Tribolium castaneum: one gene and its partners. The protein of the gene in region 3 purifies or fractionates together with the protein of the main gene of each other region. This does not show direct contact. Links are inferred from orthologs where the notes say so. Each region holds a gene or a part of one and is shown on either strand. Other genes may lie near its edges.

The links.
Region 1: the proteins of CkIIbeta (region 3) and eIF3j purify together in Homo sapiens (co-immunoprecipitation; 3 studies listed by BioGRID and IntAct, with this or other methods). This does not show direct contact. The link is inferred for Tribolium castaneum from reciprocal best matches to the Homo sapiens genes CSNK2B and EIF3J.
Region 2: the proteins of CkIIbeta (region 3) and Zmynd8 purify together in Homo sapiens (affinity purification with mass spectrometry; 3 studies listed by BioGRID and IntAct, with this or other methods). This does not show direct contact. The link is inferred for Tribolium castaneum from reciprocal best matches to the Homo sapiens genes CSNK2B and ZMYND8.

Annotation. Positions count from the first base shown.
Region 1 is NC_087396.1:21,287,016-21,290,268, reverse strand, and holds eIF3j (eukaryotic translation initiation factor 3 subunit J), read left to right. Parts: upstream 1-1,170; 5' UTR 1,171-1,485; coding exon 1,486-1,498; intron 1,499-1,558; coding exon 1,559-1,644; intron 1,645-1,689; coding exon 1,690-1,797; intron 1,798-1,843; coding exon 1,844-2,141; intron 2,142-2,193; coding exon 2,194-2,330; intron 2,331-2,374; coding exon 2,375-2,425; 3' UTR 2,426-2,669; downstream 2,670-3,253. Other genes in the region: Srp54 (probable splicing factor, arginine/serine-rich 7), read right to left, coding at 1-910. UniProt on the Homo sapiens protein: Component of the eukaryotic translation initiation factor 3 (eIF-3) complex, which is required for several steps in the initiation of protein synthesis.
Region 2 is NC_087398.1:14,045,657-14,049,411, reverse strand, and holds the start of Zmynd8 (MYND-type zinc finger-containing chromatin reader ZMYND8), read right to left. Parts: upstream 2,586-3,755; 5' UTR 2,370-2,585; intron 2,297-2,369; exon of another isoform or gene 2,284-2,296; 5' UTR 2,076-2,283; coding exon 1,599-2,075; intron 1-1,598. UniProt on the Homo sapiens protein: Chromatin reader that recognizes dual histone modifications such as histone H3.1 dimethylated at 'Lys-36' and histone H4 acetylated at 'Lys-16' (H3.1K36me2-H4K16ac) and histone H3 methylated at 'Lys-4' and histone H4 acetylated at 'Lys-14' (H3K4me1-H3K14ac).
Region 3 is NC_087397.1:979,801-983,555, reverse strand, and holds CkIIbeta (casein kinase II subunit beta), read right to left. Parts: upstream 2,404-3,755; 5' UTR 2,260-2,403; intron 2,052-2,259; 5' UTR 2,048-2,051; coding exon 1,976-2,047; intron 1,926-1,975; coding exon 1,823-1,925; intron 1,773-1,822; coding exon 1,581-1,772; intron 1,532-1,580; coding exon 1,342-1,531; intron 1,070-1,341; coding exon 961-1,069; 3' UTR 457-960; downstream 1-456. Other genes in the region: mitochondrial import inner membrane translocase subunit Tim17-B, read left to right, coding at 2-355. UniProt on the Homo sapiens protein: Regulatory subunit of casein kinase II/CK2.

The DNA of each region.
Region 1 (3,253 bases), on a different chromosome or scaffold from region 3:
GTGAGCGGCGTCTACGCCCTCTAGATCTTGAGCGGGAACGTCGCGAGCTCCTTTTATCTTTAGTTAGCATTCCGATAACTGGCTCAATCGAGGCATTGATCATGTTTTGAGCCTCTTTAAAGCGAGACATTGCTTCTTCAATTTCCTTCTGAGCGGCTTCGTTACTTTTGGCTTGGGGCTTCATGATTGGTTGAGTGGCGTGAATGATTTCCAGCGGCTTGCCTTTGAACTCTTCACCGTTCATTTTCATGGCGTTCACGACGCTTGGCTGTTCCGTGAATTCGATCAAAATGTGCGTGGTGTTGTCGTTGGGGCACTCACACACTCTCAAATACTTCACTTCACCGGCTTGTGAAAAATACTGGATTATCTCATCTGTGGGTATGGCGGGGTCAATATTGACCACTTGGACCGTTCGACGAGTCTCCTCGACTTTGATCGAGTCGTATTTGGCCGGCAAAGGGGGATAGGGGGCGCAGCCATTGTCAGTCAAATGGGGGTCATTTGTGACAACAACGCGTTCCTCGCCTGTGCCTTGGAACGAATTGGAGACATGTGGGGGCAACTTTGGCTCGTTTACGTTAAACCCGGGGACAATGGTCCCGTTACGGGTCATCTCCAGAGCGTAGTACTCGTCGGGGATGTCCCCGTTGATCACAGGGATGACAATTAGGGCCCGGTCGATGAAAACAGTGTTTGTCATGTGTTGGGCTACACCTACCGTGCTGGAATCCACGAATTTAACGTAACAAATCCGGGACTGGACAGGACAGGAGACGTCTCGAATCGTGGGGTACAGGCGAATGTCTTCGATTTTACCCAAGTAGCCGAACAGCGTCTGCATCTGGTCCTTGGTGGCCTGGGGGGCTATGTTGGTCACCTGGACCACCTTAGTGTTACCCACGACCATTTTCACGCACTATTTTAACATTTTCCAACGAGTTTAAAAAACGTAAAACGACGCACATTGACAAGTCAAATGACAGCAAGTGTCGCCAACTATTGTTCAATGATGAAAAACGCGGTGAAAAAGCAATTTATGGCCAATCGTCCTAATTAAAACTTTTTATGACTGTCCCAAAAGGATAATTTCAAATTATTTAAAATCTTTGGCGTTAAATAGCCTGTAAAACTTGCACTTTGGTTGTAATTTGGTGCCTTAATTGTGTGCCGGTTGGCAGGCGTAGTTGGTTTCTGTCAAGGGTGAGATGGGTGTTCGAGGGCTATTTTCGCTCGTGAATTGTTCAACTTCGCCTGATTTCGCTGACTTTTCATCTTGCAAGAGACATAAAAAGCCGAAACGTATTGTTTGATACATCTACAAATCGGTGTACTTGTGGAAGCTTCGAGAAAAGATAGTGTTTGGTTTGGTGACACTTTGACAGTGTCATCTGGCGGTTTCTGGTGCAGTTGCACGTTATTCAGCACACGTGAATTTCGAGGTTGAGGTCGTTTTGTGCTAATTTCGGCCGTATTTTCGCCAATATGGAATCGTGGGGTAAAAATTTAGTCAATTCTTTCACTACTTGAGCGAAAATTTGACATGGGGCTGTTTCAGACGACGATAACTTCGAACCTCCATCTGTTACACCTGTGGTTGCGTCCAACAAATGGGAAGGCGAGGACGAAGACGACAACGTCAAGGTAAAATGAGTGAATTCCTGCCAAAAATTTACCATTTTCCTGCAGGAAAGCTGGGAGGATGAGGAGGAGGAGAAGGTGGAAGCGGCGCCTGCCGAGGAGGCCAAACCCAAGCCCAAGAAGCAGTCAATCGCTGACAAAATCGCAGAGAAAGAAGTGGGTATCGCAATAGTTGTGACAAATCTAATTTCTCCTTATTCAGAGAAAGAGGAAGGAAGAAATGGAGCGGAGGCTGAGGGAGCAACAGGAGGAGGAAATCTCCCCGGAGGAGAAGCTCAGGATGCAGAAGGAATCGGACTTGAAAATAGCGCTAGAAACGACGTTTGGGGGCGACACCAATAGCACAAACATTTCAGGTTTAGACGGACTCACGCTGCCAACTACTAAAGAAGAGTTTCAGGACTTTACAGACGCTCTCTCTAAGAAGCTCCAACCTCTAGCTAAAAGCACAGAGTATCCGGTGTTCACCGAAAACTTACTACGAAATCTGTGTGCCACTTGTACGTCTCTCGTTTTAATTTAAAACAGCGTTAATGATGAATGTTCTTGCAGTGTCCTCATTAGATATTAAGAAAATTAAAAATACGTTAGATAATTTATACCTAGAGAAACAAAAAATCGAGAAAGGCGAGAAATCGAAGAAAAACAAAGGCAAAGGCAAGGCTAAATTACGACTGGATGATGGAAATGTAAGTTGTGGTTTTACAAGTGTTTGGGTTAATTTTTTTTGCAGCCTTTGTCAGCGTATGTTAACGACTATGACGATTACGACGACTTTATGTAGCAGATTGCAGCGGTTTAGATAGGGTTTTAATTTTTAAATAAATATCTTCGATAAATATAAATATTGTTAAATTATACGGTATTTTTAAAAAGGTGTAGTGTAATGATCATGCAATATGGTTAATAATTTTTACTTTTTTTTCACCGTTTTGTGTTTTTCTATACTAATGTAACGAGTCATTATTAATTAATGAGTTGCTGGTTTTTGTTGCTACTGATATAGAAGTTGTATTTTAAGGCGATTATTGTATGGATTTGCATACAAGTTGTATTCAATGGATTTGATGCAATTATTGTTAATATCAATATAATTTTTCAAAAAAATGATTGCGTTTTATTTAAAAAAGAATCAAGTGTCTTAGACACAGAGTTGCCACACGCACGCAATTTAAATCCCGTCTACGCCGTTCTGACGTGTAATTATTACACATTTATGCTGAAATTTATTATAGAACAAGTGGACCCCGCTTCTATAAACTTTTTGAGACCATAATCTATTTTAATGTTGAATATTTAAGTACCGTTGTTGGTATTCCTGTCCGAGTTTCATCACAATATTTGTTGTAAAAATGGCAAAATTGGTGCTTACCTCCACGATGACACTATGTAAACACTGATTCATTAGACTTTTCCCGATTTTAAACACTTTTTAAAACTAAACACAAACACCATGTTAACTTTTTTGTCATAAAAAGCAAGCGTCTTTAGACTCAGGGCTGCCACCATGCCACACACACTTGATTAGAATCCCGCCTTTGTAATTACTCGAAATTCCACTAAAATTAATTACACAACAAACAAAAACTGTCTTGGGACACATTTAACATGA
Region 2 (3,755 bases), on a different chromosome or scaffold from region 3:
AAAGTTTCGGACACATTTGACGTTTCGCTGACATAAACGTGTGTAATTCCCTATCCTTCTTGACAATGAAATGTTAAAAGTGCCCGAAATTTTTAGACAAGACCGGAGTCAAAATTTTAGAAAAACTTAACATTATCTCCGTTAATAAAAACATTTTATTAAGACGATTTAGGCTAAAACTATGAAGAATAATGCATAGAGCCTCGTGTTAAAAGAAACATCTCAACTTCGTAAACACCTTGTATATCTTCAAAAATGTCGAATTTTCATATTGAACCCTCTACAAGTGGAATTTCCAAAAAACCTAAAACAAGTTTTTCATTTTTAAGCAAAAGCCCAAATACTAATTTTCCATAGTTCAAATTAAAAAAAAAAAGATTTTTTATATAAAATTTAGCCCCTGTTTAACCCCCTTGAAGGTAGAATTTTCAAAAACCTGAGAGCTTCATTAATAGTCGTAAAGTGCTTTTGTTCAGGTACAACTATCATTTGTTCTATTAGGTGACGGGATGAATATGATTCTAGTCTACTTGCTATTTTAAAGTTATAGTCAAATTAAAACTTTCTGTGTTTCCGTGTTATTTTGTGTTAAATTGGTTAATTTTAAGTGTGCAGTCATTTCATTAAATACATCAAAACCATATTTCTAAAATTTTCATATCACTTGTTCTCCGTTTCAAAACTATGGAAATACCAACGTCACATTTTCTCTTCTTATAAATTATTCATTTGCACTTCAAAAAATTAATAGCTGTCTCATTTCAGTTCTTAGTAGAAAATGGCAACAGCGCCTTTGCATTTTTTTTAGTAGAATAGAGCACAAATTGAGAGTTTCTGTGAAATAATTCAGTGTTAAATAGAATCCCAGCGATAGAGCCAAGAGAATTCAAAGCGAAAATTAGTTTTAAAAATTGACAGCTGTTGCTAAATGTTTGAACCGGACCATAATGCAATTTATATACTTATTAAAACAAATAATTCGGTAAAATGCAACGGCGGCACTTCCGTAGTTTTGAAACAGAGAGTATCCATCTATGTTTTTTATAGACACTCTGTATAAAAATAATGTAGATGTCACTTGTTACGTGATTGGCAAAGTTCTTACATACCACAAAATAATCTAAAATTAGTGAAGATCTACGTTTTTGTTGAATGAACTATTTTACAAAAAGTTGTAATTTTACTTATCATAATACGTGACGTAAAATATTAGCGCAGTATCTAAAAAACAGTTGTTAATTTTACACAACTAAAATATGCCAACATGCGCTTGGTGTATATTTACAACCTTGTACTCGAGACAACAACTGTAATAACACTTTTTGTGTAATACAACGTTAATGAAACCTGTTTTAGATCAGGGCCTTTTGCTGGAAACGGCAAGAAAGGCTTCAAGCACCATTTAATTGTAAAAATATATTTTTTTGTTGACATTTGAACAGTTTGTGCAACGTGTGAAAAACAAATCACAGCCAACTATCACTCGCACGATCGTGACAAGTTGGCGTTTTTTACAAACACTTGCGTCCACTTTTCTTGTTTATAGCTCAAATGAGCACTAGTTTGAACACAATTTGTGTATTTCTGAGCCGCCTTACCTTCCTTGCCATGATAAAATCGTTGTTATAAAACTGCAGCCCCCTCCTTGCCTCATCGGCGGTGGCGCCCTCTGCCCCGCTTTCGCCTCCGAAGCTCGATTTTCGTTTCTTCGCTTTTTTCTCGTCGATTTTCACGTCGTAATTTTCCAGCTCGCTCTCGGCTGTAACAGGAAAACTCGTCATTTTGGGTGATTTTTTCGGCGTGCCCTTGACTTTGTCTAGCGTTTTGCGTCTGTTTGTTGACAGATTGGTGTCTAGCTTCGCCTCTTTAGACAAAGCGAGAATGGATTTGAGCTCGCGGCTGGTTTTGGGGGTGCTGGTGTCGTCAGGGGACTCACTTGGCGGTGGGGGCTCCTCGGGCGGCGTTGGGGGCTTGTCGTCGCCGTTCTGGGGCTCCTCGGGAGGTGGAGCGGGCGGTTCGGCTTCCGGCGGCGGCGGCGGGGGCGGCGCAAGGTCGAGCTGCTCGCTTTCGGACATTGTCGTGGGTTATAGTGATCTAGCAAATGCACAGTTGGTATTGTTTGGTTACAAACGACTTGAACTCGATGCACAATGGAAGGGAAATGCGCGTTTTACAGCCGTGGAAAGCGGTTCATTGCGGGCTCGGAGGAAAATTCGGCCACTTTTCAGCACTAAAGCCGGCTTTCGGCAACTCGCTACACTTCTTCGCTCTTATTTACATAACCTAGAATAAAACCCTTTCTGTTAGCTCTACACATGTTTGGAGCGACTGACTTGGAAAACATCGTCGTAGCAAGGGGTTTTACTCACCGTCTAGCTTAATTTTCATTGGAAAAGCTCATTATTGATGAAAAATCAGCATTATCGATAGTAGAGAATGCATCACATTCACAACACTTCCACTGTATTTATAATATTTGCCGTTGGGGGCGCTGATGTTAATGTAACTTGACTGGAGTTCAGCGTTTGGTGTAGGGGAGAGGAAGGAAAAGTGGGTCACATGGTTTTTTCTTGAAACTTTACGTCACGGCTTCACATCGTGTCTGACGTAGGTATCACGTGACACAACCTTTGAAAAAGTCCCCAGTTGTTACTGCATATACTTGATTTTAATAATATTTATTTAGTTATAAATTGCATATGCCTTAGAATTAAAATTAAAAGAAAATTTAAGAATTCTGTGTTATAATTTATAATGATCCGAGGGATAAACAGCAGATCTAAACTTAAACACCATACTTCCTGTACCTTGTGCAAACGCCTTAGCTTTTATACCTCTGCTGTTAGCTACCCTTATTTCAAAATTTTAAATGAAATCCCCTACGTTTTGTAACAGTTTTGAAAACTTGCAAAAAACCTTATCAAACCGTGAAAAAAGATTATCGATTCGTTTATATATTGGGGGATGTTTTATTTTTGCAATTTTGAACTCTAATAGTAGTACTACATATCTGATTTAGAGTCAATTTAATTTAAACAAAAAACTAGTGGGTTACTGTGAAGGGAAATTTCAAAACAAACTCCAAGTACCTACTCGTCAAAAACTACCCTTAATCGATATGCTCCTTTGTTAAATTAAATTGGTTTAAGAATTAAACGTTTTAGGTTTAGGTTTTTAAAATAAAACCACTCCTAACTCAAAAACGAAATATAAATCTTCAGTTTGTTTTATTTACACAAGAGCATTAGAAATCAGGTGACATGCGTCTTAACTTTTGGGCTTGCGCAGTGGTGTAAATTTATAGATAAAGGTAAACTCCCAGTACATCCCCGAAATCCCTGTAAATCCTTAAACTTGCACACCATACATCCACAGCTGTTTACAGGTCGTAATGGTTATAAAATAATATAATCAATTTTTATGTAATGTAGAGTCACAAAATATGTATTATTACAAAAAATCATCGATAAACACTTTCTCATGTTTTTTAACAGTAGGTATAGAGAGAATTATTATTGTAAAAATAGTAAGTCCTGTTAGCCTTTTTCAATATTATGTTTTCGCCTAAGATTCCGCATCCAATACCCTTTATGCTTCGTCCTAAACTGACAAACATTATTTTCTTCCAAGCGAAATTGTGGAGATATACTAAAGTAATATTTCATGACAACAATGCAATGGGGCCAGAAAATGATTAGTCTGCAGTAAAAAAGATGTTTATTGCTCACTTCGTCTCACTTTTCAGAACAGATGTT
Region 3 (3,755 bases):
GGTTGGCAGTTTGGCTGCTATCAAGCAACGGTCCCCTATAATCGCCGGCAACTTTGCCGTTTGGGGCGGCATGTTCTCCACAATTGACTGCGCCCTAATCCACATTAGGAAAAAGGAGGACCCCTGGAACTCCATTATAAGTGGGGCCGCGACTGGGGGCATCCTCGCGGCGAGAAACGGGCTCCCGGCCATGGCCGGGAGCGCCTTCATTGGGGGCGTTTTGTTAGCTTTAATTGAAGGAGTCGGGATTTTGTTCACTAGGTTGTCAGCGGAGCAGTTCCAGCCGCAGATGCCCCCCATGGAGGACCCCTCCCAGCTGAGGGGGCAACAGAACGGGGGCTACTCGTTCCAGTAGGCGCGCGTGTGTTTGTAGATAAATTTTTGTTTAAGGCGTAAATATAAGTTTATTTTGATCTGTGTTTTATTTATGTAATGGGTCAAATAAAGATTCTTACGAAAAACAGAAAATTTTATTTGATAACATGCGAATTCATAACTTAGTCTTGGTTGTGATTACCTTAAGTAAAAATACAGAACCTAGGTTTGCTTCCTATGTTTTATTTAAAATGTGTTATTTATACATCTTAGATTACGCTGTGTGATTGAAAAATTCAGACTTTTGACCACTCTATTTACTAATTAAGCTCAGGCATGACACACCAACTCATCTGAATTTTTTAATCAGTTATTTACAAACTTGAATGCTAGTTAATTTTACACGAAACCGGTGACGCTTCTAAATTAAACTATCCTTACATTTATAAAAACAAAACTGGGAAATTTATTATACATTGAACCCTATTTATAAAAATGATGGAATTTTTGCACATTTTTAACCTTATGCAAAGTTAACGCCATACAAAAGTATGAAAGAAAATAATCAAGATTTAATTTCATACATACAAGAATACACAAATTTGGGGTAGAAATAAATTAAATCAAATGTATACACCTTTTAAATTAACGTTTACCATTATTAAAGTTCAAACTTCTCAGAGGCGCCTTAAAAGTCGAGGCTGCTTGCTGTTGCAACTGGTAAGCAAGGGGATGAATTTTAAAACCAAATAACCTGAAATCATTTGTTGAAGAACAATTCTAAAAAAATCAAGTGAGTCTAAATAAAAGCGGGGTCAAGACAATGCTTTAAAAACAACGAAATAAAAAAATGACTAATTTTTCGTTTCGTGTAAAGTTATTGAGGATTATTATACGTAACATCCCAAAAATTCCGAAATGAAGTAGGTTTTGACTTCTCAGTTGTCACTTGATAACTGACAATATTAAATTCGCCAAGCACTCTTGACCAGACTTTCAATTAGACTCACGCCAGTTCGGCTATACCTAGGAACAAATTGATTTGTTGGACGCTTTGGCCTGTATTCTGGGTGCACCATGAAGAGCATGTGAGGGAAACCTGTCCCAAAATAGGCCCCATCTGTATGGTGGTGCCTTGAAGACTTTGGTGTGTACACATCCATACATTTGGGGCAATATGACTTGACCATTGCCTCCCCAGGTACATCAGACAGCCCTAAAGCACAAACCATTACCCAAAAAAATACCAAAAGTGTTGGGGTTACCCAAAGGCAGCATTGCCTGCGATTCGCAGTAAACTCGTGGACAATACCCAAAATCCCCAGACTGGTATTTTTCAATCATTTGGGCGATCCCCCGATTTGTTAAAATGTACCTAGCGTGTATTAACCCATAAAGCATCTCGGCCGCTTGCTCAATCAGGTCGGATTGGTTCGGATTATCGTCAAGTTCATCATCTAAAAAGCCGAGTTAAAAAAATGTGAAACCAGGGATGGGTTCAAAATACCCGGTTCTAAGTCTAGTATCATATCAAGAGCTTGCCTGTAGTGCGGAACTTGCTCATTCAAGCCCGTCAAGTTAAATTTGTCCTGTATATAATCCTCATCCACCTGCAAATACACTCAAAAATCTCGTCTTTAAAACAGGCAAATTCATTTACTTCGCAAAAGAATTCATTTCCTCTAAGTCCGCAAAACCATGAAATCCACGAAACCTCCTCTGAGCTGCTCATTTTCCTAAAACATTTCCGATTTATTTAGAAAATTGGAATTTTGAGACGGTTGTGGCTGTCCAACCCTATGTTTAGATTACGTTTAATGACATTTGTGACACAACTACGACGTTAATTTCCCATTTTTGGGCTTAGAAGGGATGTGGAGGGTTGGCAAATGACGAGATTAGGGCTAAATTGTGATCGGGGAAAGAAATATTTGAGAATTTTACCTCTTTGTACCTTGATTAGCCACGCTTACGCTACTTCATCTACGCGAAAAAAGAGTTGATGTTGGGCTCATCTAGCGGAAAGTGACGGCATTAAATGACAGCTTTAACCGCTAAGTTTGAAAATTACAAGTGGGATTTTTTAACTACAGTTAAACCTCAGAACGGCGTGCACAACTTATCACACACGCAAACGGGGTTGCATCCAAGAAAAAATCAAAAATAACTCACCCTCGCGCTCACCCTGTATTTTTTTCTATCCATACAGTAGTATTAATTAATCAAAAATATTCACTTATAAAATGTTTTTTTTATTTTCAATACAATGTACCGTTATCAAAATTTCATATCAACTTCATTAATCAACATATTATGTAATAACTTTTGCACTTTTGCATTCATGTGTGTCTTAACTTATTAAATGAGACTTTTTCCAAGATTTTTTTCAACTTGGCATTTTCAAAATAGGCAGTTTAAGACTCCGCCCGGCATTATAAATCTTCTACAATCTTCTACATTAATGTATTACTTCTTTTCAAACCTGCTAAGAGCGTTTTTTAACATCAGCAATTCTTCTTTCTCCAAAATTATTATTATTATTATTATTATTATTATTATTATTATTATTATTATTATTATTATTTTTATTATTTTTATTTATTTTTTTGAGCTCATTAGGATAGCTTTTTAGCTGCTTATTAAAGTTTTTTTTGAAAATGTTCAGCACGTTTGTTGCAACTTTTCGAAAAGTGTGGATGTGTTTCCAATAAAAATCTCTGTATAAACACTATAATTTTTTTCTGAAAATAAAAATGACCGATTTGCGCTCCGCTCTCTAAACATAGTCAACCATAAATAATTTTCTTTTGATGACATTATGTAACCCAAAACCGTGAAAACTAGATAAAAATAGTGAAAATCGGATCATTTCCCTATTTTTAGTTTGCGCAGACGGCCGGTCTAGTCGAAGGCTTTCCTAGGCGCCGCGACGTCGTCACCCGAATTATTAAGTGACATTTAATTCCATTTGAACCGGACAATAAACTTTTAACCGCCTATTGTTAGTTGAAAAGTGAAAACCCAATCTACTTTTAGAAATCTGCTTGCACAAGTGGGACGTGCTAGTTGCGGTTTTTGAAGACTGTTGACTCATAAATAAATTCTGGCTCTTTTGTTATCATTATTTAAACAAAGGCTAAATTACACCAAAATGTAGTAATTGGTTTATTGTGATTGTTAATTGCGAGTCAAGGTTGTAGCAGATTATTTATTGTTCGGCTTCATTCTCTTGTGCGGGAGAGTGTTGTAAACAAACAAGTGGTTATAATACATTGCATTTTCTTCCACGGTGTGTTTAGTTAATTGGAAGGTTGTTGTCGCTTGTACTGTAATTGCAGTGTTAGTGCGACGATGTTTTTCTGAAGCTGAGTGGGTATGAAAGACGGCAGGAAATTACAAAAATTAATTCAATGTCAGTGAGACGATGACGCTCCACATCT